Diceros bicornis minor: one gene and its partner. The main gene of each other region encodes a partner of the protein of the gene in region 2 in a complex. Links are inferred from orthologs where the notes say so. Each region holds a gene or a part of one and is shown on either strand. Other genes may lie near its edges.

The links.
Region 1: the proteins of MMP2 (region 2) and TIMP2 are in contact, whole or in part, in a crystal structure (PDB 1GXD), measured with the Homo sapiens proteins. The link is inferred for Diceros bicornis minor from reciprocal best matches to the Homo sapiens genes MMP2 and TIMP2. Residues at the interface, in NP_004521.1 of Homo sapiens: Trp574, Lys576, Asn577, Lys579, Tyr581, Phe588, Arg590, Lys595, Asp599, Phe602, Lys604, Ile606, Ala607, Asp608, Ala609, Trp610, Asn611, Ala612, Asp615, Tyr636, Leu638, Leu645, Lys646, Ser647, Val648, Lys649, Phe650, Gly651, Ser652; in NP_003246.1 of Homo sapiens: Ile162, Pro163, Cys164, Tyr165, Ile166, Pro169, Leu173, Met175, Val178, Thr179, Phe191, Arg196, Asp198, Ser200, Cys201, Ala202, Trp203, Tyr204, Arg205, Ala208, Lys211, Gln212, Glu213, Phe214, Leu215, Asp216, Glu218.

The regions. Positions count from the first base shown.
Region 1 is NC_080757.1:58,676,123-58,690,694, forward strand, and holds the start of TIMP2 (metalloproteinase inhibitor 2), read right to left. Parts: upstream 5,805-14,572; 5' UTR 5,509-5,804; coding exon 5,379-5,508; intron 1-5,378. UniProt on the Homo sapiens protein: Complexes with metalloproteinases (such as collagenases) and irreversibly inactivates them by binding to their catalytic zinc cofactor. Known to act on MMP-1, MMP-2, MMP-3, MMP-7, MMP-8, MMP-9, MMP-10, MMP-13, MMP-14, MMP-15, MMP-16 and MMP-19.
Region 2 is NC_080771.1:8,397,358-8,412,099, reverse strand, and holds the start of MMP2 (72 kDa type IV collagenase), read right to left. Parts: upstream 6,236-14,742; 5' UTR 5,936-6,235; coding exon 5,780-5,935; intron 3,190-5,779; coding exon 2,963-3,189; intron 2,044-2,962; coding exon 1,895-2,043; intron 792-1,894; coding exon 663-791; intron 434-662; coding exon 260-433; intron 1-259.

The DNA of each region.
Region 1 (14,572 bases), on a different chromosome or scaffold from region 2:
GGGCATCTTCTCTACCCCTCCGCCCCGACACCCTGTGGTCCCTGCAGTCTCCACTTCTTGTTCAGACCCTCTAGCAACAAAACAGAACCTTGGCCAAGCACTCTCAACACCTCTCTGTTCATTTAAAATTATGTACAAGTGCAGCTGTCAATCTGTGTACTAAATATCTGTAACATTCTCTACTTGAACCAAAATTGTCTTGGGGACCCCACTTTGGAGACAACGGCTCTGTGAAAACTTTGGCGGGTGTCAGAAGCACCTGCACAGTCTTAGAAATACCAATACCCACGCCCCAGGGCCCCAAGGCTCCAACTCAGGACGCCAGTTCAGGCGTCTGCCTTGCAGCAAATGCCCGGGGCGATGCCTGCTGTCATCCACAGGTGCACATCCTCAATGGCTTGCCTTGGGTCCTCCGCATGGAATGCAGACTCCACGTGATAAGCCAGAGTGGCAACATTTGGTCCCCTCTCCCTCTCAGATGCCCCTGCCCCTAAGCCCCCTGCTCTATACCCAGAACTCTCTCTCACCTTTGCCCAGGCAGTTGGATCCTTTGCTTAGCACACTCGTGCACGCCCTCACCCGCCACCACTAATGATGCACTTAACAATGCCTGGGGAAAATGTCACCTCGCCCTGTCCTCCAATTCAGGATTCTTCACGCTCCTCAACCTTGATTTCCTAACTCTGCTTTCTCTTTCCAGAAAGACCATCCTAACGACAGGACCACCTGCCCTTGGTCCTTTGTTTGTTAGCGTGTACACATTGTGGGGTGGAGGGAGTGTCCGGGGCAGGTGCTCCTATCAGATCAGTGGCTCTGCATCAGGACTAGGGTGGCTGTGTGCCCCCCTCCCTGCCCCATAAGCCTGGGAGCCGTCTGTACCCCTGTTCTCCATGCCCTCACACGTCACCAAAGGATTTGGACTGCAGAGCCCGTACCAGTGGGATCTTCCTGGCAACCCAGCTGAGACGGTGGAGAGGAGAGGCAGGACCCAAGCCTGCTTGCAGCTTGTGGGCCACTGGCCAGGACTGCACACTCCAGAGGACCGAGCAGGTCCCAGGCTGCAGGCCAGCACCGTGTCCTAAGATCCCAGAGGAGGAGGAACGCACCGTGTCCGGTGAGCTCCCTTCCATCCACCTGCCATACCCACAGAGCAGCCTCCGTGCCCTTCACACATCTCTTCCCGTCTCCCAAGGCAGGTTCAGTCACTCCCCTGGAGAACATATCCTTCCAGGGACACTGTCCAAAACAAGCCCAGGAACTCCAGTCCCCTTGCCCACCCCCCAACCTCCATCAGAACTCTCTATCTTCAGATGCTGCAAATGCATTTCACCTTGCCACACAGTGACTTAATTATGTGCCCAAAGCACGTCGAGTCTGACCGACGTTATAACACGCCCTGGCGGTCGGGGTGGGGTCTGCAGGGCTTCTGCACACCCTGACCCACAGGTTTAGACCTACTTCCACACTGCCTAGCACTGGTGTCTAGCGCACCCCTCCTGGGGATAGGATGACGCCTTGCTTCTCCCTTACCCACCCAAGGGGGAGCCAGCCACTCCATAACTGCCTCTTGAAACATAGACAAACCCAATATGAAAACCAGGATGTAACCCAAACCAATTATGCACTCTGCAGGAGTCACCAATAGTTCCTTTGAAGGGCACCACCCCCACCCTGGCCCCCATGCACCTAAGGCCTGATTCAATTTATAGGAATCTCATTTGCCTTGTCTCCCCTGAGCACACATGTCTGGTGAAGACAGAGCCATTTCTAAGGGCCTGCTGCATGTTTTCTGGGGTGGCCACTATCTGGGTCCCACCACTGGGTGCACAAGGCCGGCCCATTCACCCTGCCAATCAGCACGTGGCCTTGGCTGTGGGCCCGTCTCCACCTGGTGATCAGTCCATCAGAGGGTCTGCAGAAAGCAGTGTCTGGAGATGGGAAAGACAGCATCACGGGAGTGCTTCTGGAGTCATATGGCTTTGGGCACTGCCCCCCAGGCCGGAGGGGAGAGTTTCTTCTCTGAATCCAGAGGGTTCCTGGGTTTACCCGTGACTCCAGAAACCTGCCCAGCAGCCCTGGTCTGCCAAGACGCTCAGTGGCTGAGTCCAGGCTCCCGGCACCACGGCACTGCCTGAAGAGCATGGCCAGAGCTGGCGCCCAGCAGATTACTGGGGCTGCGCAGGCTTGCAGGAGATGGCGCAGGGCTCCATTAGGCAAGATGAGAGGAGGTGAGGCCAGCAGCACAACGGAGGGGTGCTGAGACATGAGATGCTCCCCGCTTGTCCTCACTTTCCTGGAAAGAACGGGGAGCGGGGCTTCGGGAAGAGCCCAGATCCCCTCTTGCCCACCGTCCCCTTCATCCTAAATCTCCTAACCACGTGACCAACTCTTTCTGCCGACCACAGTTCCAACTCTACCAGCTGCAAGAGCTGGGGAGATGCCTCCCCGAAATCCTCACACTGGCACACAGAAATCTGCTTCTTAAGCCAACTGCCTCTTGCAGGCACCAAGCCATTTAACAAGCCTGCATCCAGTCAGCAGTTAAAGGAGCCAGCACACCACATTAAAGGTCAGCCTTTAGTAACTCCCAATGTGCACCAGGCCAGCACTCTTCCCCTGACCCCTGGGTCATGGCCCTGGTGCACAAAATCACCTGTGGGGCTTTTAAAACTACAAAACTCGAGGCCTGAGTCAGATTCCCGGTGTCTGTAAAGGGACCCAGACCGGAGTGACCTTTAAAAGACCCCAAGCAGATCTGCTTTAGGCCAGAGTGGAGGATTGCTGTCAAGGAAGTCAGCAACCTGCACCACGTAAAGGAGAAGCAACGGGAAAGGGCCACTGCTTTCGCTGGGAGGTTTACTCCAGGGCCACCCGGGGCCCACCCTGAAATGTCTCGGCTCTGGATCCCGAGTTGACCGAGCACAGAAGGGCTAAGTGTGAAATGAGATCAGGCAGCTGGCTTGAATAGCATCCCCCTAAAATTCATGTCCAGCTAGAACCTGTGAATGTCACCTTATTTGGAAAGGGTCTTTGCAGATGTGATCAAATTAAGATGAGGTCATACTGGATTAGGGTGGGCCCTAAATCCAATGACTGGTCTCCTTATAAGAAGAGGGAAATTTGGACACAGACACACACGGAAAAGGCCGTGTGAAGACGAAGCAGAGATGGGAGTGAGGTGTCTACCAGTCAAGGCGCCTGGAGCCGCCAGGAGCTGGGAGAGAGGCCTAGAACAGACTCTCCCTCAGAGCCCCCAGAAGGAACCAACACTGCCTAGCCCTTGATGTGGGGCTCTGGGCCTCCTAAACTGAGAGAGAACCAACTCCTGCTGTTGTAAGCCCCCTAGTCTGTGGTAATCCATCACAGCAGCCCCAGGGAGCTACTGCACTGGGCTCTGCAGTCAACTCCAGCATCAGCAGGCCTGAGGGGGCCTCCAAGCTGGGATGGGGTTAAAAGTTTTGGCTCTCCAATGATTCTGATGCAGAGAATTGGACACAAATGCCAGAAGATCCAGGCAGAGGAGAGAGGAGGTGAGAGGAGGAGAGAGTAACGTGCAAACCTCAAGACATAACTGAAGCTTCTTGAACCTGACCCTTTGCTGCCCTTGATCCAAACCCAAAGCAGAAACAGCCCCAACCTTAGCTGACGCTGCGCAAGCACGGGAGTGGCCAGCTGCATGTTTTCCCCACGCAGCTGAGGAGTATGGGGTGGCCTCGAGGCCCAGCCCCTTCCCACTCAGCTCCTGCAAACCAAGCCTCGGAGTCTTAACGAGCCACGGATTCCTCCCGGGCCTGGGCCTGATTCTGCCCCATGACTCGCTAGTCAGAAGCACAGCTTGTCTCTTAGCAAAGGGGCCTAGACAGGCCCGGACTCCCAGGGGACACCCCTAGGGAAGGCCAATCTGGGCTCCCCCATTGGGAGGAGCCTCTCCTTCCCCCTCAAATCTTGCTGAGCAGCAAAGCCAACGGGAGAACAGTTCTTACCTCCCCCAACTCAGGTTTCGTAGAAAGTACTCTGAAGCACGCACTGCGCTCCAAGCCAGGTGGCCTGAGTCACGGGATGCCCACTGATAGGAGCACCTAAAGACTCCCTGGCTAGGCAGCCAACTAGGGTGTGGCCAGGAGCCGCGGGGGCGGGGGGGGGGGGTATATGTGGGGTGGGGTGTGGGGAGATCAGGAAGGCGTGGCTGACAACAGAAGAAACCCAGAGACCCTGGCTTTGAGTCTGCAAAGGTGAGGGGAGCCCAGCCTCACCACATCTGGCCTGGCAACAGGATGCTCAGCTGGCACAGATGCAGGACCAGAAAATAAACCTGTTGAGAAGTCAGAGGGGGCTGCAGAGGCCCACCTGCTACACATCTGTCCTTTTGGTTAAACTGAACTTGCCCCAGGAAAACCTGGCTGACCATTACCAGGGAGGCAGAGGCCTGCAAGTGTCAGACCTGGATGGAAACCTCCAGGGCCCAGCTGGTTCCTCCCAGTTCTGCTGCGTTCTCCCTGCTTCTGTCTCCTGCCTCTCTGTGAATCAGAACAAACAAGTGGGCTCCTCCCTCCCTCGCTAGCTCCCATCTTTGGGGGACAAGGAGTCCTGAGGGTGACAAGATATTTTCTGGCGATTCCAAGCAGCCACACAACCTCAGGTGCCCCAAAGTCTCCAGTTGCTGTGAATGTCCTGAAAAAGCAGTCACGGGCACCAAATCACTCAAGGACCATCCTCTCTGTCTGGCCCTGGGCACGCTGCCTCCTGGGCAGGGTGTAGAGCAAAGAGCTGGCCCTGCAGCCCTTTCTCAGCTGCCCGTCCAAGCCCAGGAACCTGCCCAGGGGAGAGAAGCTTCCATTGTACCCAGGCTTAATCCAGTGAGCCCCCAAATGGTGCTGGTGGGAGAGGCCCAGGCAGAGAAGCCCTTCCCCACCGAGCCCCAAGTCCAGAGGAGCCCAACTCCCATCTCACCTGTTGAGTTTCTTCCTGGGGCCCCCAGTCTTCCAGCCCACCGAGGCCGTGACCACCCCCCCACCCCGCCCCACGGTATGTCCCCCACTCTCCCCGCCCCCGCCCTGGCATCCCAGGGTCCTCCGCCTGCCAAAACCCAATCCGTTCCCTGGCTCCCTTTTCCGGGGCTGGAGCTGCAGCGGAATTTCGGTGGAATTTTGAGGTTGAGAACATCTCAGCAGAGAAGGAAGGAAAGGGAGAAAAGGAAGGGAAAAAGAAAGTGCGATTTTGGCGTCCACTTGCAGGATTCAAGAAGGCGCCGAGGGCCGGGAGGCGGGCGCTGGGTCCTCTGCAAAATGCGGCGGGCGGGGCGCCTGCGGAACATCAGGGGTCCCGCGCGCCCCGCGGGGGAGATGGGCACCGGGCCGGGGCGCGGTCGCCGTCCTTACCTACATCTGCATTGCAAAACGCCTGTTGCGGGTGCACCGGGGAGCAGCTGCAGGCGTCGGTCGGACGGAGCAGCGTCCCCAGCAGCAGCAGGCCGAGCGCGAGCGGCAGGCTGCGGGCCGCGGCGCCCATGGCGAGCGGGGGGCGCGGGCCGGGGGCGCGGGCTCGGGGCTCGGCCGCCGCCGCCTGGGCTCGGGGCGCTCCCCTCTCGGCGGGCGGGGGCTGCGCGGGGCTCCGCTGCGCTCCGCGGGCGCGCCCTCCGCACCCGGCCCGCACTCGCCGCACAAACTTTCTCGGGTCTCTGTCGCCGGGGCGGCGAGGGGCCAGCGGGGGCCGGGCAGCGGGTTACGCGGCGGAGAAGAAAGCGGGTGAGGGGCGGCGGGGCGAGCTAGCGCGCGCGGCCCGAGACCCGGCTACCTCCACCGCCTTCTATGGATGTGTGCGCTGCGGGCTCGCGCCGGGCCGGCCATTTATTGCGCTGCAAGGATTTGCGGCTCCGCCTCCCGGTGGCGGGCGGCCAATGCAGGCTCCGGGAGCTCCCGGCGCCCCCTCCTCGCGCGCCTCCCGCGCCTCCCCGGCCCTCTCCCAAACCAGGGCTTTTGTTGTGCCGGGCCTGGTACGTCTGGAGCCCGCCGTTGCGCACCTGGCTTCCCACCGCCCGGGGCAGCACCCCACAGCCGCCCAAATCGCGAGAGATGGGGGGCGGGGGCGCTGCGGGGCGGACAGCGCCCAGTGGGCCCTGACTCAGCACTTGGGACTCGCGGCCCACCCCTCCAGGGCACTAGGCGGCGTCCCCCAAACCCCTTCCCCTCCAGCTTGGCACGGGAGGTGTACACTGCCTGATTCCCTTCCACCCCGGGTTCCCTTCGATTCTAGCCAGGGATTGAGCAAAACAGATGTGCGATGTGGAGCAGGGGTCATTCCCTGCCGCCCCCTCCCCATGCCCTCTGTGGGTGGGTGGCCTCCTGAAGCTTACTGAGGATTCCTTTTTCATATGGAGGCCTTAGAATTTTAAGTGCGCTTGGCCAGTCTGGTGGAAGGGGGAGGGGGCGTGGTTACTATGAACAAAACAGGATTTTATCTAAACTGGCCATATTTTTGACCAGTCAACGAGAGCCAGGAGGGTGGGCCCAGGAGCCCAGCAGGCGGTAGGATTGGATGAAGGCCTTTGCTGGGCTCTGTTCACAGTTCCCTCCCTTAGCCCACAAATGTGGGAGCTGAAGGACTTTTCCCAAAACAGTGTGTTCCAGGAAAGGCAGAGGAACTTAGAGGTGTGAACCACATGTGAAGTGTGACCACCGGGGTCGCTGTCTACCTGTCGCTGAGCCTGCCCCCAGCCCTCTGCATGGGCGCTGGTACACAGAGGACCTCACTGCTGCCCGCAGGGCGTTTGTCATCTAGTAGGGAGAAGTAAATGGAGGAAAATGACACAATTAAAGAGTAATTGCCTGCTGCATGGTGTGGTGCTGACTTGAGATACGAAACTGGAAAATACTGAAAGAATGGAAAAACAGTGTCTTTTTGTTTACGTGTGCTTTGAAACAGACAACTTGGAGAAAAGTTAAATAGGCAGAGCAGTTATTTTTAGCACCCTGACAAACCCAAAGTCACTTTTTCAGCTTTTGTGCATATAAAATCGAGTTATGTCGTTTGTGAAATGATGTTTGATGCTAACTTTTTAAAGTACAGTGTATTCGGGAAATTATAACATGTTGGCCACCTGTAGGCTTTTTCTTTCTTCCTTTCTTTTTTATTACAAGTGGAACAAAATGCTGTTGAACTTTACAGAATCTAAAATCAATTTGTCAGTTTATGAGAGAAACAGATAACTTAGGGGCTGTTAGTCTTGTAGGAAAGATATGCAGGGAGTGATCTAGTGTATGTGAGGGTCAGAAATACGTTACAATGGTGGCCAGAAAGGGGAGCTGCACAGGGGTGGAAATAAGGAGCCTGGACTTGCTCCTTCCCTCCCTCCCCTCCTTCCTTCCTCGCCCCCCCCCGCCCCTCCCTCCCTCCCTTCCTTCCTTCCATCCATCAGCAATGCTTACTTGAGCATCTACAGTGGACACTGTCCGAAGAGCAGGACATTCAGAAGTCCATAGGACAGGGCCGGCCCCGTGGCTTAGCGGTTAAGTGCGCGCGCTCCGCTACGGGTGGCCCGGGTTCGGATCCCGGACGCGCACCGACGCACCGCTTCTCCGGCCATGCTGAGGCCGCGTCCCGCATACAGCAACTAGAAGGATGTGCAACTATGACGTACAACTATCTACTGGGGCTTTGGGGGGGAGGAAAAAAAAAAAAAGGAGGAGGACTGGCAATAGATGTTAGCTCAGAGCGGGTCTTCCTCAGCAAAAAGAGGAGGATTAGCAGGGATGTTAGCTCAGGGCTGATCTTCCTCACCAAAAAAAAAAAAAAAAAAAGTCCATAGGACAGCCAAATTCCCCGGGACAGTGAGGGGAAAGCCCCCTGAGCCAGTGAAGGAGGAAAGTGAGGGAAGAGGAGGCAGGGAGAGGGGCTGGGAGGGGATGTGCATTTTATTCTGAGTGCGAAGTCAGAGCCCTTGGAGGGTTTGGAGCAGATGGGCAGAGTGGGCCCCTCTGCAAGCACACAGCTCTGTGGTGGGGTCGATAGGAATGGGGGCAGAGGGCTCCGGCGTGACTGGGAGACTCACAGCCCAGCTGCCTTCATGGCCTCGCCAAGCCCCCGCCTCCACATCGACAAAATGGTGATAAAAAGTCCCTTCCTAGTGCATTGCTGTGAATGGCTGACCTAAGGCTCTAAAATCTGGTGCACGTGGTGGCTGTTGTCACGAGGCATGAGGCGTCAAGCGTTAAATGACTCTCAGAGGGCAGAGCAGGTGAAGGGACAGAGCAGTCCCTGAAACCTCCATGTCTTCCCAGTTCAGTGTCCCCCACCACACCCCGACCTGCCCCAGCCATTACTGCCGCCCAGTGCCCACGGTGGCCTTGGCTCCCGGGAGCCCAGCCTCAGTCCCACTGACCTCTCCTTCCTCTCCATCATCCTCTTCCAGTTAGAATCTTCCCATCTCAAAACCAAGGGACCTGAGACCTCAGATACAGAAGCTACTGAAGATGGGAATAGGTGAGAACCTGGCTACCGGCATCAACAAGATGCTCTTTCTGTGCTCGCTGCTCCACCGCCAAGAGGGCAACACAGCACAGGAGGAATGCAGGGGACCGGCTGCAGGTCTGACCTCTGCCCTGGGAGAGAGGACAGGGTCAGGACACTGCACTCAGGCAGGAGAGGGAACGGGGAAGGAGGCCCCTGGGGCTGGTAGCTCCCTCTGTCACCCCCTCTCCTGACCAGCCTCCTCTGCCTCGATATTGGGCTTAGAGAGGAGCCATGTAGGAGACCCTGGCCCGGGCCCCCGTGTGCGTTCTGACCACAGCCTGCTGGACCTCAGCTTTTATCTGTGGCTCCCAGCAGGACTCAGGGTAGACAGGAGGGGGCAGCACCTACCAGGCCAGTGGGGAGGGGGCTTCCAGGACCCTCAGACCACACTCCCTGGGCCACCACTTCCCACCAGGAACACTCACCTTGCCCCTGCCTCCCCCTCAAAGACTTTCCCATCACAGGACCCAGCAGAGCTGTCGGCCCATCCCAGCATGTGACATGAGTACACCCAGCAAACATGTCCTGGGCTTGGCTTGGCAGAGTAAATGTTGTCCAGGGCCAGGAGGAAGTGCCAATGCCTCCTCACTCCCGCTCCCCTCAGGTAAACAGAGTCAGAATGACCTCACAGGCCTCGGGCAGGAGGCCCTCTGAACCAGGCTCTGTCCACCCAGCACGAGGACGGTCATTGGAAGCGCCTCTTCTTGTAGAGTCAGTCTCCCAGTTTGGAGAAGATCCATTTCCTTCTGAGCCTGGAACATTCTCTCCCTAGAGACAGCTGGAGCGGAGCTGAAGCCCCCACACTCCTTCCAACAGGTTCCGGAGAGCCAGACGCTCTATAATGTATGGGCATTAAAATTGGCCCCACACACTCAGGAAGTGTGCCTGGCAGTCTGGCAAGTTTCTGCAGTTTGTGATGTGTGGCCTTCAGAGAAGAAGGGGCAGCTGGCATCAGGGTCACGACGGGCTCCCCGTCAACTCTGGACATCAGACTCATGGCCCCAGTAGGTGCGTGGTGCCACCCAGCCCAGACATCTCTCCCCAACGTTCCCTGTTTACCACGGGACATCCCGAAGATGACAGGAAGGTGAGTCAAGAATGATTGGGCCGTCTGTGGCACGAACTGGCCCACAGTTCACTGCACAGTCAACATAAGCATCTTCTTGATCAGCAGCGGACACTCTAAAGGACGTTTCGATTTTCGTTTCCTTTCATTAATTCCATGACTTGTCCTCTTCAGCTTGGGCCAGCTTCTCAGCCTCGGCCCTGCTGACCTTTGGGCCAGGCATTCTCTGGCAGGGCCGTCCTGTGCACTGAGGGGTGTTGAGCAACATCCCTGGCCTCCACCTTCTAGATGCCAATAGCACCGCCCCCCCCGGTTGTGACAACCCAACATGTCTCCAGACATTGCCTAATGTCCCCTGGGGGGCAAAACCGCCTTGGTCAATAATCCCTAACCTAGCAAAACTAATAAAAATCTTTGGCCGTGAAGAAAGCAAAATATAGAGATGTAAACAGCAAGGTCCCATTTCTGTCGAGCAAATAATAATGCATATGGGAGAGTCAGTGTATCAAGGTGTGACCAGAGAGCGGGGGGGATGACACACCAGCCGGTCCACACTGGTTCTCAGGGGAGAGAGGGGAGGCAAGGGATATTAGAAAGGTTGTGTTTAAAAACTGTCCATGAGTAAACAGCATGCATAATATTTCATTTATATGAAATTATACATATGCATGGATGTAGACAGATGTATAAACGGTGTTCACTGAAAAGGCAGTGGAGTGTCTCCAGTGGTGGGAGCTTAGGTGACGGGATGGGTGTCATATCCTCTCCTTGTGCAGAGAAAGCAGTTTTCAACCCTAAAATGGACAGCTCCTGGGGCAGAAATACGGATACTTTTCTCTACTGTCTGTACAGCATTATTAGAGCCTGCCAGGGCTGTCAGCTCCTCAAGGCACTTACTTTCAAATGACCCCTCTGTCGTCCAAATGACCCCTCTGTCGTCCACACTACTCTTGGCTCACGTCTTCCACTGGGATTTCTTGTGCTGCGTCTGTGGCTGTATTTTATGCCACCCCATAGGGCATCTTTAAGGAGGTGGGGCTTGGCCCTTCTCCTTCATTCTTCACCTACACCTCTGTCACTCCCTCTTCCTCCCCTCCCAAAGGCAGCCTTGGGCCAGGGCACCCACCTTGCAAACCTGCCTGGGTCTGCACCCCTGCTCCCTGCTATGCAGAGCACAGCCTTCACAGACCGGGCAGCGGTCTCAACACCAACCCTTGTGGCTCTGGTCCAGTCTAGAATCACTTCAGAAAGAAAGGAGGCAGGGACGGTTGCTGTCCTGGGGGTGGCCGGGAAGCTCAGGAGGGCATTGGCTTGAGGAGACTGCCACATCTACAACGTCTGGGATCACGTGCGTGGACTGGAAGCACATAACCCCTTCCTCCAAGGGAGCGGCTCTGGCACAGCAACGATGTCACCCCCTGTGCCTGGACGCCTCTGCAGACCTTGTCCCACATGGACTCTGAAACGGCACTGCCTCTCCTCCTTGTGGCCATGTTTTACCTCTCTGACTCAGAAGGGTCTCCCGTCCTGCCAGGCGGGTTCAAGCAGGGCCCCGTGCCCTCCTTCGAGGAGTGAGGGAGGGTTCTGGGAGCAGCTCCTGCATTAATCTGCACCCCAGGATTCCCAGGAGTCCACACACCTGAGCTCTACCTTCCTCTTCCACTGCCCACTGGCCCACCTGTCTGCCTCCCACGTCTCCCTGCACGGGCTCTCCTGGGTCCTCGCTTAGACTTCGTTCCTGTGAAAAACAAAGGACTGAGAGAGATGGTGAGCGTGGCTCTCCATCAGGCCTGCTGCTCTGCATTTTCTCCTGCCCAGGCTCTTTCCTTTTGGCCCTGGGCATGTGGTCATGTGCTTCCTTTCATGGGCGGGTTAGGGAGCAGGGCCAGCGAGCAGAGATGGGAACCCAGTGCTCCTCCATCCCGGGCTTTCTCCAGGACACAGCCTCAGCTGGCGTTCCAGGACCAGGGGCTGGCCAGGAGCAAGGGGCGGGGACACCTCGGGAACTGGCTGCCCAGCTCAGCAGGGGTTTGTTGAGGCTGAGTTTTCGTGGTTTCAGGTTCCCTCCCTGGAAGCCCAGAGGCGAGGCCCAGGTTTCCCGCCGCAGCGCCGTCCTCCTCTTCCTTTGGTGTCGGGAGTGACGGCCCATGGCCATGATGTCATCGCCTAATCCAAACAGAAGGGGGGCTGGTTTGAGGCGCTGGCTGGCGTCCCATGCTGAGTGCAGCAGTAAATTTCATTTCAAGGCTATGATTAGGACTGTGCCCAAGAATTTCCTCTCTCTCTCCTTCCCTCTCCCCAATCCTATTTTTCTTTCTATGTTGCTGCCTTGTCTTCTTTTTTTCTCCTTCTCCCGCCCCCGACTCTCTTCTCCAGGGATGCTTCAGGTTCTCAGTGAGGTCAGCCCTATGGTCACCAGCACCAAGCTCCTCTGTCCCCAGTCCAGCGTCTTGTCACCTTCAGATTCCAACCTGCCTCCATCCCTCTGTGACCGGCTTTGGAGCATATGGGATAGGTCTCGGCCCCTAGACGTCACCCTGTGGAGTACAGGGTGAGGGTGAGAGACAGAATTCCTAAAGGCCCTCACTCAGCCTTGAAATGCCAGACGACAGAAAGAGCTTGCTTTGGGGTGGCTCTGGTCACCAACAAAGAGATCAGAAGGCCACGGAGCTGTGATAAAGGCCGAGAGAAGCCCGGTTCCTTGGGAAGTGATTCATCAAGTCCTTGCTGCCATTTCCAGCTGGTTTCTGGAGTTTGGGGTCTGGCTCGCTGGCCCTCTGTGTTTGGCACTCTCATCCTCTCCTCAGCTAGGAGAGAGCTGCCCAGCTCCACAGGCAAGAGGGGCTGACAGACAGGGGCTCGCTCTGGTCCCGTGTCTCCCTGGGCTTGCCCAGCCCCTGGGTAGAAGTGGGCTCGTGTGAGCAGTCCTACCCCAAATGCCGCTGCTTCTCTCCTCTTCCCGTGTCACCCTGGCTCTGTGCTGGCATTCCCTCGCCCGGAACAAGGCTGCCAGCTAGTCATTGCTCAGTGCCCCTTCTGTTCAGCTCCTGCTCAGCCTCCCCTCACAGGTGTCACCTGACCCCAGATCCATGTTGCATGGATGCCCACAGGGAAGGCACTGGGGTCTGGGCAGGCAATGTCTCCCAGCACCCAAGCTGCGCTGGGCTTCCTGCAGACGTGGAGGATGCTCTGGGTCCCCCTCGGTGCTCCCCATCAAGTCGGACTGTGGTCTGACTCCTCAGGACGGGTAAGGGGATGCCCCGACGTGGCCTCGTGTCTGGCAAGTAGCCCACAGGCATTCCCTTCTTGGCCCTCCCCGCGCCCCGACCCCCCAGTCCCCACCAGACACAGGTGGCTCTAGCCCTCCTTCCCCATGCAGCCTGGAAGTGGCCTCAGATCCCTCCTCACCCTGCTCCAGAGAGCCAGCCCAGCCAGCCCAGCCAGCTGATGGTGGCAGGTGATTGATTTCCACCCTAGGGCGATGCCCATCTGGGGTTGTGTGGAGAGCGGGTTGCCCTGAGGAGGGGCAGAGATGGAAACTGCCCTTCTGTAGCCCATGACCTGGACTCCTTAGTTTCCTTGTGTTTTCTCTCATGGGTTCCTTGTCTTCATGTCTGTCTCCCCATGACGCCCTACTTCTTAAGGTTATAGCTCATTCATTCATTCAACATGTTTGGGCGCCAGCTGTGTGCCAGGCATGTGCAGAGCTGGGGATGGGGATGGAACTAAAGCAGTCTCTTCCCTCCTCCAGCACAAACCACCCTTTAGTAGAAACACAGACAGAGACGATTGCCAAGCGGGTGTAGGGTGCTAGATGGTGGAGCAAGGCCGTCAGTGAGGTCGGGGTGGTCTGGAGAGGCTGCCTGGGATAAATGAGCCCTGGAGGTTGGTAAGAGTTATCCAGATAAAGCGGGGAGGCATGGTTCTAGATGGGGAAACTGGCCTGCATGAAGATGGAAGATCTGGATGTTCTAGATGGAAGGACTGGCCTGAGTGAAGGCCTAGAGGTAGGAGGACACAGGAGCTCCAAGAGGGTCAGGCGGGCTGAGCACAGAGCTGGGGTGGGGGCAGGGCCTGGGCTGTCAGCATGGCGGATCTGAAGGTGAGTGGTGGGAGACGGAGACAGGCAGCAGCTGTTGGTGGTGACTCACCGCTGAGCAGAATGATTGAAAACACATGTCCCGCCGAGAGGCGCATTTATTACTCAGAGCCGAGGGTTCTTGGATGACATGGGAGTCAACAGGGAGAGGGGTGGGGAGGGAGTATGGTTGGCGGCGGGGCCACGGGGAGGGCTTCCGGGCTCCTTACGTGTGTGTCGGGGCTCACTGCCTGCACCCTGACATCTGTTGCCGGATCACTCCTCAGTTCTGGCCGGGTTCCTACTTGCTGCTTTTAAAAAAACGTTTTATTATGAAAACTTCCAAGCATATTCACAAGGAGAGAGAACAGTATAATGCTCACCTACTTACCAATGCCCAGCCTCGAAAATGATCAGCTCATCCAATTCTGTTTCATCAGAACACCCGCCCCAATGGATTATTTTGAAGCAAATCCCAGACATTGAAGTTCCTGTGTAAATATTGGAAGAACATTTTTTTGGAAGGTTTACCTTCTCTTCTTCTTGGTAGAGAAGCGTGTTAACTTAATTTTATGAGGGTTTATCTTAGCACAGACTTTTTTCTCTTAGGGCAAAACCAGCTCCCGAGAGTCAGGTAAACCAGGTGTGTGACTTGAGCACGATTGCTCACCTCTCCCGGCTCTGCATCCTTGTTTGGAAAATGGGATCCCAAAGCAGTGCTGTTAGAGGGGCTCATAGGAAGGTGTCCAGCACACGGCAAATCCTGGGTGACATTGGCTACGATGGGGCCAAGAAACAAAAGCAGGTCACACAGCCAGAGTCAGGGGTCCAACCTCAATCCACCAGACTCCAAAACCTGTTACCTTTACCCACCAGCCGGCGTGTCCAAACAGCGTGCTTTTTACGGTCTACCGAACCAC
Region 2 (14,742 bases):
AATAATTTGCACATCAAACCTGTGACTTCACAAATATTATTGCTAATGGTGAGACCTCAAAAAAATGGAATAGATTTAATGAAAGTATTAAGTAAACGGGCATACAAGTGACAGGACGCAGCAGTGGCTCCAATGGGAAGGGTGGGGCCTGAAGGAAGTTGAGGGCACGCTGGTTGACTGGCAGCGCCAGGCCTGGGGAGCACGGAGGGCAGGGTATGGTGGGAAGCCCGGGGACGTGGAGGCTGAGGTGGACGCTCACCTTCGTGGGGGCAGAAGCCGTATTTGCCGTCCTTGTCGAAGTTGTAGGTGGTGGAACACCAGAGGAAGCCGTCGCTGCGGCCCGTGTCGGTGCAGCTGGTATACTCCTTGCCGTTGAAGAGGAAGGGGAACTTGCAGTACTCCCCGTCGGCGTTCCCGTACTTTACACGGACCACTGGGGGCAACACGGGGGAGGTGAACCCCTCCAGGCCTTTCTTTGGAGACCAGGACTCCGACTCACCCAGGGGCGTGGCCTCCCTCCCTCTCCCATCTCTCTGGTCCCATCAGAGCAGATGGAGGTGCCCGAGGTTGCCAGGGAAGCCACAGGCCTAGTTGCTAGAGGACAGGGAGGCATGCAGAGGACTGGAGAGGAGGCTTGGGGCATGTGGATGGTCCCTTCTTACCTTGCCCTTCTCCCAGGGTCCACAGCTCATCGTCGTCAAAGTGGGAGTCTCCCCCAACACCAGGGCCCGGGGCGAAGGCGTGAGCCAGCAGCCCATCCTTGCCATCAAAGGGGTATCCATCTCCATGCTCTGAAACACACCGGGTCTCAGCTTTCAGCTGCCCCAGCTGGGCCCTGACGCCCAGCCACCCCCTAATCCATGGCTGGGGGCCTTTACCACCAAGCATCTGTCCCCTTCCCTGTCCTGCTGGGGTTATCCAGGACTGGGGACACAGCGAGTCAGTAGAGAGTTGCTGACTTGATTGTTACCATCCTGGGGTCTACACTACTCCCTCAAGTCTACAGGGCCCCAGTATCTCTACCTTCATTGTCTACACTACCACTGATGACACTATACCTACCCACACACGTACACTGCCACACCAGTGTCCTCGCCACTCACCCTCACTGTACCCAGCGTCTACACCTTCTACCCTCACGTCCACACCGCCCTTTTAGCCGTACGACCTACCTTCACGTCATACGATCAGCAATATCCACAAAACTAACCCTCATGCCTACTTTGCCACCCAGGTCCATACCACCCACCTACCTGTCTCCATTGTCTCCTCTGCCCTTTACCCACATCACTACACCATTCACAATGTCTACACTACCTACCTTCATGTCTACACTACTGCCAGTGTTCATACCAACAACCAACATGAGACCCTTGACCCCGGGCTCTATTCCACTTGCTCTCATGTCTACACTGCTCCATTGTTTCTGACCCACTCTCATATCTAGAGTTCCTCAGTGATACCAGCATTATCCAATAGAACTTTCTGTGACGACGGGAATGTTCTTTTGCTGTTTAATTCAATAGCCCGTAGCCTCATGAGGCTACTGAGCGCCTGAAATATGGCTAGTGTGACCAAGCAACTGAATTTTAAATTTTACTTAATTCTAACTAATTTAAATTTGGATAGCCTATGTACCCAGCGGCTACCATGCTGGACGGTGCCGGGAGACCACCTGGTTTCTGGTTTACACTGCCTCCAGAGCATACCCAGTGTCACGTCACCTGCCCCACATCAAGCTGGCTCTCCGCTGTCTGCTTCCATCTACACTACTGCAGCGTCTACATCTCCTACTCTCCTATCTAAGCTGCCTTCAGGACCCCCGTGCCTCTCTGATGGCCAGATCACCCCCTTGTCTCTACATGGACCCCCTGGTGGCCCTTCTTCTGCCTACCCCAGCGGCCGAAGTTGATCATGATGTCAGCCTCTCCGTCATGGATGCGAGAAAACCGTAGTGGGGTCACATCACTCCAGACTTGGAAGGCACGAGCAAAGGCACTATCCACCGTCTCGGGGTCCAGATCAGGCGTGTAGCCAATGATCCTGGAGGAGGTAGAAATGCATGTGAGTGTGTGTGGGTGTGCCACGGAGTGTGAGTGTGCATATGCACGTGTACAAGTGTGTATATGCCACTGTGTGCATGTGAGCATGCACAAATGTGTGCAAGGGTGCATGCATGTGCACAAGTGTGCGAAAGCATGTGAGAGGTGCATGAGTTTGTGCATGAACATGTGAGTATGCACAAATGTGTGCGCATGAGTGTGCATGTATGTGCAGGTATATGTGTGTGCATGTTGAGCAGAGCTCACTGGGAGAAGAGCCGGCCCAGAACGCCTTGATGTCCCGTGGAGTCCTAGACCAGCCCGTATCTTCAGGCCCTGTCTCAAGAGTCTCATCCTTCACGTCTGGCTGGGGGTGGGGAGGGGGACATAGGCAGGGGCATAAACAGCGCATTATGGGAAACAGGGCAGAGACCTCATCTTTGGAATCCCTCATGAGCCATATAGAACACAGCTCTCAACCCTACTAACAACCAATGATAACAACTCTATAATATAATATAAAACCCAATTAGCAACCAACCGTCGAGTTCCCTCTGCCTGCCCCAAAGACCCCATCTAATAACAATAATGACTAGTACTTACTATACTCTTACTATATACTGGACACTGTGAAAGCCCTTTATAGATGCGATCTAGCTTAGTTCCCAACTAACCTATGAGGAAGGTTTTGTTTCAGCCCCATTTTGTAGATTGAAAAGCCAAGGCTCAGAGCCCTGGCAAGTCGCCCAAAGCCCCTCAGCTGGTAAGTGTGAGACTGAAGTCCAGGTCTGTGAGACTCCAGTTCCTAAAAACTTTGTGTGCAAACTCCTTAAGGTACCAAGCCCTCATAAGACACCTCCCGGGGCCCACGGAGACCCAGTGTCCAGAGCCCAGGGTCCCCCACCGCCCCGCCTCAGCACCTGTACGTGATCTGGTTTTTGTCCCACTTGGGCTTGCGGGGGAAGAAGTTGTAGTTGGCCACGTCGGGGTTGCCACAGCGCGGCTTCCGCATGGTCTCGATGGTGCTCTGGTCGAGTTCACCCGTCTGGGGGAGCCCAAAGAACTTCTGCATCTTCTTCAGCGTGTCCTTCAGCACAAACAGGTTGCAACTCTCCTTGGGGCAGCCGTAGAAGGTGTTCAGGTATTGCTGGAAGAGACGAGCACCCGGGGCAAGCAGCCACGTTAGGATGGCACAGTTCTGACCAAAGCAGTCAGGGACCCAAGGGCACTGGGTGGAGCGCTGGGTTCCCAAACCAGCTCTGTCACCCGCTAGCTGAGTGACATAAAAACTGTAGAGAGCACAGCTAGGGTGCTTACTATATGCTCAGGCACTGAAGTCAGCAAGTGTTAACTCATCTAATGCTCACGAAAACTCTATCATGTAGATATGATTACTGTCTCCATCATACGCAGAGCACAGAGAAGTTAAGAAACTTGCCCAAGATCACACAGCTCACAAATATCAGAGCTGGATTTGGACCCAAGCAATCCGGCTCCAGAGCCCTTGCTGGGAACTGTAACTCTCTACCACCCTTCTTCATCTCCATCACCTCTTTTAATCTACTAACGGCTGATGACACACGGATGATTTTCCTCACTTTTCTTATAAGGAGATTCAAGGGCTATGTGCCCGGGCTGCAGCAGCAGTCAGATCTGGGTTCAAATCCCGGATCTGCCATCTCCAAAAAGAAAATGGTCCTCTCCTTCAGGAGCCGCACAGCTGGCTCTGCCTAAACTGAGGCCAAAACCAAACAGACCCCTGCAGAGCGTCAGGGACCAACCAACACATTCATTTGTCCCACAAATGTTTTTTGACACCTATCATGTGCCAAGCCCTGCACTGGCGCTGTGGATAAACCGGTGAACACGACAGATGTTTCTAGCCTCTAGGGTTCAAATCCCCAGGTGGGCAGGCTGACGGACCACACATGAATGCAAAATTAAATACGTGATGGGGACTGTGTCGGAACGGTGAAAGGAGCCAGGAGACCTTACTGCAGAGGCCCTAACCTCGTTTGGGGGGGAAGGTAGGAGAGGGTATAATAACAATAACAATGACATAAATAATAATAATGGCTAACACCGAGTGCTTATCATGTGTCATGGACCCTTCGAAGTGTCTAAGGTGACCGCTCCTTTAACCCTGCGACAGGTAGCATCTTTATCTTCAGTCTGCAGAAGCAGCTGAGACTGAGACGTTGTCACCTGCCCGAGATCACTAGGCCGGCTGGTTAGTGTGCTCTCTGGTTTGAAGCCTGGCCCTCCAAGTCCAGAGCCTTCTTCTCAAGCACCCCCCTGCACTGCCTCTGGAGAACGTGGACTTCCACAATGTGCAGAAGGTGTGGGGACCCAGGCAACTTTGTCAGTGCTCTACTGTCACCCCCAACCAAGGGCCACATCACTAGCCGGCCAGCTCCAGACCCTGGAGAAAAGCGGCGCCCTAAAAATGTAAGGTCTCCCAACCCATTTACCCAGAGAGGGCAGAGGCCTAGATGCTGGAAAGGGGGGGTGTCACATCCTGAGAAGGGGTTCCCAGGGTGACCAGAGGGCCTGGGAGTCCTGTCCTGGGCAGGCTGGGGACCAGGCTGAGGAAAATGGGGGTTTCTAGGGTGGCTGCAGCAATAAGAGGGCAGATGCCTCATGGGCTGGAAGGTACACGCTGGGCGTCCCGAGCCAGAGGTGCTTACAGGGGGAGGCGCAGTGTCCTTCCGCTGCCCCCAGCTCCGCCTGTGCAGCACTGAGGTCGTGGCTCCCCTCGAGCCGCCCCTCGAGCCAGGCGCGCGCTCTCGCAAAACAACCTCTGAGCCGCAGCTCGGAGCCGCGCCAAGAGGGAGGGCTCGCTGGCCGCTCTCCGACCCGCGCCGGCTAGGGCCGCCCCCGCCCCACGCGCCGGGGCCCTCCGGTGCCTGCCCCTCCCTCGCCCGCCCGCCGCTTCTCTCCTTCTCCTTCTGTGCTCCGACCCCTTTGGAGAAGCTCAAGGAAACTCTCCGAGGTCCAACCCTGGAACCTCTTGTCCATTGAGCCAGGCGGAAAAGTTGCACTCTCTGCTTCTCCCCTGCCCCAAATATTTGCCAAAAGGTCCTTCGCGTGGTTTGTCCAAGGCCTCTTTCCAGATGTGTGCCAAAGGTTCCCAGAAGGTTCCAAAGGTTTGCCAAGTCCCGCTTTGCCCAGAGCTCCCATCCTCACGTGTGCGAAAGTTTAACCAAATTGTGTGCCAAAGGACCCTCCTCCCAAAGTCCCACAGGAGTTTAAAAAGATCCTCTACCATTTGCAAAAGAGACCACTTTAGGCCTTTTGCCAAAGGCCTACCAAGACGCTTGCCAAGGGCCTTGTTAGCCAACCCCCAGATGTGTCCAAAAGTTGTTTACAAAGCCGCCCCCCTTGCCAGATCCCCCAGATACTAGACAATGTCCCCGTTATTTACAAAAGGGGTCCTTTCCATCTGTTTGCCAAAGCACCTCCTTCCCCTCCCCCGCTTGTTTCTCGCCTCCCTGCCGTGTCCTGAAAGTTGCCAAGTTGTTATCAAAGGCATTCTCCACTTACCAAAGCTCCCCCACGGGTTGCAAAAGAGATTCCTCCTTCAGCTTGCCAAGGACCCCCCAAGCTGTTTACTGAAGGCCCTCCCCCATGCTGTGTGCCCCACGTAGGCGTGGGGGCAGGGGTGGCGGGGAGACCCCCATCCCTTGCCTCCGAAGTTTGTTTAAACTTGGCTGGTTGAGGCCAGCGTAGCAACTCACCACAGCCAACTCTTTGTCCGTTTTAGGGGCGACATCTCCAGGGAACTTGATGATGGGCGACGGCGCGGCGGCGGCGCGGCCCAACAGGCAGCCCAGGACGCAGAGCGCCCGCAGGGGGCCGGCGAGCGCGCCGCGGGCCACTCGCGCCTCGGTCATTGCGCTCCCGGGCCCCGCGCGTCGCCCGGGGGTCGCTGGCTCGGTGTGTGTGGCCGCGTCGCCGCCTGGCTGGCGCCTGCTCCGCCGCGCAGCCTGCGCTCCGAGGGGCCGCTCGACTCGGTGGCCTCGGCTTTGCCCGGCTCAGCGGCGCATGGTCCGGCCCCCGCGCCCCAGCCCGCGCCGCCGCCGCCCGTTCTCGCCGGCGCTGGCAGTCCCTTTGTATGTTTAAAGCCCCAGATGCGCAGCCTCCAGCCGCCGCCGGAGGGAAGTCTGGATGCAGCGGAAACAAGGGAGGGCAGCCGCCAGATGTGGCCGGCTGGGCTGGGAGGGCGCTGGCAGCGCAGGGAGGGAGGGGGGGCGCACTCGGGTCCGCCCCTCTCCGCCCCACTCCTCCGCTCGCCCTCCTCCTCTTTTCTCCTCTCTCTTCCTCTCTCCGCTTCTTCCCGCCCCCCTCCCCCTGCCAGCGGCTCCAGGCCTCTGCGCGCACCATCAGTGCGCGACCTTTCTACTCCTACCCCCCAATCCGGGCGCCGAGCCTAAGGACCCCCTGCGGGGAAACATCTGGTGCGGCCCTCTAGACGCTTGACGTCCTGAGGTTGGACAGCAGCGGTTCTCGGAGGGGCGCCCGGAGGACAGGACGTCCTGCACTCCCGGGGACAGGGATCAGAGATGGGGAGGAAGGGTCAGAAACAGATGATCAGCTGCACGGATAGATGGTCAGAGACAGAGATTTTAAATGTTTAGAGATGGAGACAGAGACGAGAGAGATGGACAGAAATGGAAAGAGCCAGAGAGATGGAAACAGATAAAGGGGAGAGTTCCACCTTCCTCCCTCCCTTCCTCCCTTCCTTCCTTCTTCCCTTCCTTCCTCCTCTCTTTCCCTCCTTTCTTTCCTCCTTCTGCAAATATTTAAGCATTCTCTTGGCCTCAGACATAGTGCTAGGTGCTAGATACACATTTGGAATGGCCCCTGTCTCTGAGGAACGTCCCCTCCGTCTCTCAGGAAAGAGAATTAATTACACGCTAAACTGTGATGGGGAGCTCCAGCGGCTATGGGGACACCTGACTTCAGCTCCTAAACTAGTAAAGATGGTCAGGGAAGGCTGCTTGGAAGAAGTGGCTTCTGAGCTGAGACCTGAATAGGACTGCTGGGTGGGTAGGGGGTGATGGGAGGGATGTTTTAGGCACAATCTAGGGAACAACATACACAAAGGTCCAAAGATGAAAGACAGCAAGATGCACTGGAGAAGGAAGTTCCCTCTCTCTGCAAAGGGTGGGGGCAGGGTGAGGACATGGGACTGGGGGTCAGCAGAGGAGGAGGTGGGACGGGGGTCAGCAGAGACCAGCCTGGGAGGGGAGGAGCTGGGACCGGGGGTCAGCAGGGATGGATTTGAGGAGCAAAGTCATGGGCTGAAAGGGTCGGCAACAAGCTGCCCGTGAGAGCCGTGGAGGTCGTGGTGGTGAGTCTGGTCTTTATCTAAGAACCCAAGAGCCTCTGCAGCTCGGGCCTCAGTGGGCTTCGGGCAAGTACAGGCTTGTCTGGCAGGCGTGCGCAGCTGACCTGCCAGAGTCCGTCTAGAAGGGGCCCCCTGGGAGGTACTTTGCCGTTCAGGAGGGAGCAGGGCCCATCGGCCTGACCCGGGGAGAGGCCCTGGCTGTTTGCAGGAAGATGACTCTGAGGTCAGTGGGGGAAGGGGGTTGCCTCCTGGCTCAGCCCCATTTGGCTCCTGTCCATGTCCTGTGGATAGCCAGAGAGCCAGGTTGGAGAGCCAAGAGCTGGGAGTGAAAACGGAAAAAGTTGCCTCACTAAAGCATGGTTTGCAAACTCGTGGCCTGTGGGCTGAATCCAGCCTGAATAGCATCTTGAAATTTGGGAAACTTCATGTAAAAATCTGACTTTCTGGTTTTCTTTTGAAAATTCCCCCAAATCTGGCAATACTGAGTGCCAGTTGCCACATGGCAACAATTAGCTGTAGCTGAATAGCAGCTGCCCCCTTTAGATGAGGCGTGTACTTTGGTTTGCCACAGTCCCCACCATTCTCTATTGCCTTGCATGTGACTCACTCAGCTCATTTGTATCACTTGCCCCATTTCAGGTTTAATCTTTTCCCAAAAGTCTTTGTGAGAGATTGGGGCTTAAACAACATAGCTTTGGGGCTCCTCTGGCAGAGGGCAGCTTTGACAGCACCTCTGAACAACCTGTGTAGATTTGGCATTCCAAGGGCGTTGGTGTCCAGTGAAGGTGCTTGGTGCCAATTTAGAGGCACAAGGGACTGGGAGAGCATAGACAGTATCTAGTGGTAGTGGACTTGTTGGTGAGCACATGCGATACACTTCGGGGTCCCTGTATCCCTTTAGCTCTCTCTGCCATGCTAACGTAGCAGGGTGACCCTGGGAGCCCCATGTTGATGTGGGAGAATCATAAAATGAGAGCAACCAGACCCACTGTAGACTTTGTAAATGAAAAACAGACTTTTCCATGGTAAACCACTGAGATCTGGGGAGACGGTCATTACTGCAGCATCTTTTAGGCATCCTAATACAGGTGTAAATGGTCGGCACAGTGGGTAGAATTGTGTCCCCCCAAAAGATACGTGCAAGTCCTAACCTCCAGTACCTGTAAATGTGTCCTCATTTGGAAATAGAGTCTTTGCCGATATAATCAAGATAAGATGGGGTCATAGTGGATCGGGCTGGGCCCTAACCCAGGGAATGGTGTCCTTATAAGAAGACGAAATTTGCACAGAGACACACGGTGAGAACTCCGTGCACCACGGAGGCAGAGATTGGAGACATACAGGGAAGGAACATCAAGGATTGTTGGGAGCTCCTAGAAGCTGGAAAAGGCAAGGAAGGGTTTTCCCTAGAGTCTTCGGAGAGAGCGTGGCCCTGCCGACACCTTGATTTTGGACTTTGAGCCTCCAGAACTGCGAAAGAATAAACTTCGGATATTTTAAACCACCCAGTTTGTGCTACTTTGTTAAGGCAGCTCTGGGAAATGAATACAGGCTACAATTAGGAGATGCCAGAATATGGCATAAATTTCTGTCATTCATTCATTCATTCAGGAAAACTTTAGTGAACACTGTTCCCTGTGCTGTGGCACAGCAGCATCGAGATGAAGTTTGCACTGACGAAGAAGGAAGACGATGAGGCGAGACCCCAAGCATACGAAGGCGGTGTGCTGGGGGAGGTAGTGGCCGTCTGTGGCTTATGCCTTCCAAGCCCCTGTCCTCCTGCCTGTGTAGCTGCCCCTTAATTCTCCTTTGGGGAGCCTCCTCTCCCCAACCCTTGGTCTATGAGGTTCAGTGGCTGTGACCTACCTTCTGGCTCCTGGGTCCATGTGACGCAAGCCTGGCTAAAAAGCAGATCTAGTGCTGCTGGCTAGGTGATGGTTCAGAGATGGGCTGGAGAGTCTGTTGGAGCCAATGAGAATTAATTCTGGGATTTTCGCTGGAGGCATTTGGGGCGCAGCCTACACTTTCAGCTCTAAATGAAGTTGGTGGAGTTGCCCTTAGGGACAGAGGCTTCCTGAGAGGAAGTTACAGTAAAGAGAGCAGAAGTGGTGACACTGAGCTCCTGCTGCCGTCAGCTGAGCTCCTGGATCCAGCCCTACCTGCAGCCGGAGTACCCTGAGCTTTTTAGCTTGTGAGCCAATACATCCCCTCCTCCCAACTTGGTGTTGTGTTTTGCTTACGCCCGTTTGGGTTGAGTTTCTGTCACTTGCAGCCTGAGCATCCTGACTCAGCTGAGAAACCAGGACCAGTCACGGCCTGCCTGAGGTCACGGCCCTCCCTCATTTTGTCTCTGCCTCTTGTCTCGGGGACACCTGAGAAGCACTCCTGGGGGCACACGAGTGTGCCAGCGCTAATAGTCCTAGAGGAGTGAGGCGGGACCTTCTCTGGGGGCAGGGAACCCAGGGACCTTCAGGTTTCCTGCTGGGACCCCAGCCCCGGGCCCACGCTTATGGATTCCAGGCTCAGAGGCTCAGCAGGCCCGGCTACCCTGTGCCTAAAACCCTTTACCAACTTCAACCCACTCTTGGAATAAAGCCCACTTGCTCGCCGCGGCCTGCAGAGCCCCGCAGAGCCCCGCGTGACCTGCCGTGACCTCTCCATAGCAGTGGGGAACCCAGCGGGGAGCAGATGGCTCTCCCGGATGAGGCTAATTCCGAGAGAGCTACTGACAAAGGGATTAAGTCCAAAGCCTGTGGGTGGGGTGTGGGGGGAGCCGGGGCGCAGGGGCTGAGGATTTTGTCCCCGGTGGGGTGGGAGGTGGAGGGCTGTGTGGAGGAGCGGACAGAACTCCTCACTCCCCCTGCGAATGTACTTCCCAGAGGACCTAACCAATACACCTGCTCCTTGGCCTGCAAAGCTTCCCGTCTGTTAGATTGCAGCTCAAATGCCACCTCCTCACTGAAGCCTTCTTTGATTGACCCCAAATGATCTGCCCCCTGTGTTATTTCCTTCCCGCAGATACAATCTTGTTACTTTAATTTCTTGTTTGTTTATTGACACTTGCCATTCCTCCAGAATGTCAGCTGTGGCCCAGTACCTAGAAGGGTTTAGCACATAGTAGGTACTCGATAATTTGTTGAATAAATAGTTGAATAAAATTAGTGATTCTCCCCTAGACGTGGGAAGATGGATGGGCAGGCTCAGTAGCCAGAGGTGGGGATGATAAGGTGGTCCCCAGAGTAGGAGGAAAGGCCAGAATGAGCACTGGAGGGCTCTGACCTGGGTTATCTAGGAGTCATTTTGAATGACTCAAAACTCTGGGGCTTCCTTTGTCTTATAAACGCACAGACTCCATCCTAGGTCTTCCCTTTCTGTCATGTGGAGGTCAGGTGAGAACTGACCACTTTAGACTTTGGAGGGTCTGAGGACAGAGCTGTTAATTTGTAATCAACAGCAGGAGAAACTTAGGGTAGACTTCAAGTGGGACTTCCCAACAGTGACACGAAGGAATGAGACTTTAAAGGCTCCATAAAGTAGGCTGAGACAACTGCCTGGACTAGTTGGGTGGACACAAGGACCTTCAGACAGCTTAAAGATCCTGGCTGGGCTGGGAAGGACAGGTGGGCCAATGGCTTCCTTCCTGGCCGCCCCCACCTTGCCTGTTGGCCCTCCATCCTGTCCCCACCACACCCTGTGGGGCCTCTGAGTCTCTGGTCCCTGCCTCCCCCAGCCTCCACCCCTGCCCACCTGCCCTCTCTCTCCCTGCTGGGCTCTTAGCCTTGGGTTTGCCCACATGGACGGCCTCTGGCTGGGCTGTGGTTTGTGCTTGTCAGCCCCCACTCTCGGTTCTTCTGTCCACAGCACTCTCCCTTCTCCTTGGGAAACCGCACCTCCTCGCTGTGGCCCAGGCCTGGGCCGTAGGAGCATGGAGCTCTCGGGCCCAGGAGCTTCCTGCCGGCTTCTGTCTGGGAGTGGGGGGGTGACACCGGCCGCAGAGTGAGGGGAAAGCAGAAGACACAGATTCGGGGACACTGTTTGGGACCCTGGATCCAGCCTTACCTGAAAGCAGTCTCGTCCTGGATTTCTCAGTTCCATGAGCCCTGTTCTAACAGGCCCTGTTCTAATCCGATGTGGGCAGCATTTCTGTTACTTGTCGCTGAAAGCGTGCTGGGTGGGACCTGTGATATCTGGGAAAGGCCCCACTGAGCTGCTTCGGGCGGCATTCCGAGTCCCCGGGGGACGAGGCTGCGCCAGTCAGCGTCTGTGGCGGCGTGTGTCTGTCTGTCTGCAGGCAGCGACCCCCCCTCCTCCGCTCCTGGGGGCCGAGCCCTCCTCGGGGCACCGCGAGGTGGGAGAGCTGTCAGAGCAGAGACGGGCCCGCGGGCCCCAGAGCAGCGGGAGGAGGCGCCACATCCCGGCCTGCGCGAGCCGCCGGGCAGCGCGGGCCCGGGGGGCGGATGGAAACCCAGCAGCGGGCTCCCTGCCCCGGGAGGCGTTCAGGCCGGCGGGGGCGCAGCAGGGAGGCTGCGGAGAGGACTCCCCCAGAGAAATGGGGTCTGCGGCAGGCGGGGTGGCGTGCGCCCGGGGCCCCGGGGGCCGGAGGACCTGTCCCCCGGCGGGCGTGTGCTGCTGGCCGGCTGGCCGCCCTCCGGGGATGGCCTGCGCGGAGCGCACGGCCTCTCTCGAGCCCACGCCTGGTTGGTGCAGGGCTATAAAGCCTCTGTCCCCGGGCCCCAGATGGACTCCTCTGCGGGGCGCCCCGGGTTTCCAGTTTCCCCCGAGTCCGGATGAGGCCTCTGTCGAGATGCACAGCAGCTGGACCGCAGCCCACCTCCTCCCCCTGCCCCGTCCGCGTCCTCCCCTCCCCTTGCGCGGGTGGTGGTCCCAACAGCAGCCCTTAACAGACCTCCCACTCCCTAATTCCCACCTCAGGCTGGGCGTCCCCGGCAATCCATCCTGCCAGCATCCCCCACAGAGCCGCGGGGTCCTCTGCGGTGAGGCGCTGTCCCCTGGGTGGGCTGGGGTTGGGGACCATGCTTTTCCGGAGGAGGGGGAGCATTTGGGCAGCCCATGCGTTTGTTGTGTTGTGTATGTTGTGTTGTAGGCTGGCCTCCCTGGAGAATGGGAGGCCACCCGCGGTCTGGGGAGAGGGAGGCCCAGACCAGGGGCACAGCCGGAGGTCACGGGGCTTGCCCGAGCTCTTGGGGCACTGATGGTGGACGGCAGACGAGAGGCGGGGGTCGCTGGGAAGGACGAGAAGAGGAAGCACGAGGTTGCTCACTCAAGACTCACCAGCGCGCGGATGGAGCCTGGAGATGGTCCGCGGACGCCGCTCTGCTAATGACGGTCACCCCTGGGAGAGCCTGAGCGCCACTGCGTGTCGGGCGCAGCGCTAACTCATTTTTTTTTTTTTTTTTGTGAGGAAGATGAGCCCTGAGCTAACATCCGTGCTAATCCTCCTCTTTTTGCTGAGGAAGACCGGCTCTGAGCTAACATCTGTTGCCAATCCTCCTCCTTTTTTCCCCCAAAGCCCCAGTAGATAGTTGTATGTCATAGTTGCACGTCCTTCTAGTCGCTGTATGTGGGACGCGGCCTCAGCATGGCCGGAGAAGCAGTGCGTCAGTGCGCACTCGGGATCTGAACCCGGGCCGCCAGTAGCGGAGTGCGCGCACCTAACCGCTAAGCCACCTGCCCCCCCCCCCCCCCCCCCCCCCCCCGCTAGCTCTTTTATGGACGGTGAATTTCCATTGTGTTCCTTTGAAGTAGGTGGTATTGTCAGGATCCCCGTTTTATAGTTGGGAAACTGAGGCACCGAGAGGCAGACCTGGTCAATGTCACGGACCCAGCCTCAGCACCAGGATGCCTCTCGGGGCTCCCTGACCCCTCAGCCCTTGCTCAACCACCACTCTACGCGACTGCCCTGGGGGGATGGGGAAACTGAGGCACAGAGGAGGATTTGCCCGGGCCACACAGTAAGGGGAAGAAAACCAGCACCTCCAGGGGCTCACGTTGAACCAGCCACTGTGGCCGGCACCTTCACACAGGTGGCTACTCAGTCGTCCCCATGAACCTGTGACTAGGCTCTGAGTATGATGGGAAAGGTGAGCCCAGAGAAGTGAAGTGGCTTGACCAAGGACACACAACATGTAAGTGTGGTGCTGAAACGTGAGTTGACTGAGTCTTTCCCCCGCAGCAGCTGCTGCCTCCCCTGCTGCTGGGCCCTCTGTCAGCCAGCTCCCCAGCCCCACTGTCTTCTGCCCCCTTCCAGCACCCCTGCAGACAAACACCCCCCTGCCCCTCGGCTGCCCTTGGCTCACTGGTTTCCCCTTTGCTCAGGAATGTTCTCTAGATGCCCCACCTTGGCTGATCCATGACTCCACCCGACTTTTAAAACCAGCTCAGATCTCACCTCCAGGGAGCCCTCCTTGATTCCGAGCCCTTGTTCTGCCACCGCGTTTGGGTACCAACCACAGCTTACTCACGGTGTGACCCCTGGTGACAACCTCGTGGAACCCCACTCCCCTTATTTGTCCAACACTCATAATAACCATCTCTCATGCTGGGGGAGAAGCTGTTAGTGTTTATCAAACACAACACAGCGCCTGGCATGCATGCACTACGCACTTAATAATTGGTTGATCTCTACCTTTATAATAATTGTGTTTCCTGCAGGGCTCACCAAGCAGGCCTGTGTGTGTGTGTGTGTGTGTGTGTGTGTGTGTGTGTATCTGTTCAAAGTCTTTATTGAGCACCTACTGAAGTGCAAAGCCTTTACACTAGGAGCGAGTACCAAGACCACTGGCGGATGGGGCTTTGATGGGGACAGGGGTTGGATGCCCATCACCCTGAAATAGAACTGGCCTCCCCTGGCTCAGGGCTCCTCTCTGGGGCTAGAACCCCCCTCGGCAGGGAAGGACGCGTAGCCCTCCGACCACTGATTCTGTAAGGCGAGGCTGTCCCGGCCCCACCTCACATCAGGGCAGCGGCTCCTCCTGCAGGCGGGCTGCGCCATCTGGTGGCCACTCTTGGTGACGCAGCCTTAGGGTTGGGAGCCGCCTGGGTCAGACCATTCTCTGGACTCGTGGCTTCATCTAGTGGCACTAAGGCGCAATTACACTCTATTGGCTTCAACCTCAGAATCACCGGAAGAGGTTCTTAAAACATACCAGGACTCCACCTTAGACCCCCTGAAGCAGAATTGGGCAGGGAAGATGCATCCCTAGAACCTGCATTTCAGACAAAATTCCCGGGTTCTTCTTAAGTCTGGGAAAGTTGACGTTTGAGAAGCACGACCTTAAAGGGACTTCTCCCGATGTATGTGTACCTGCTCCCCACCTGTGCGGTAATAAA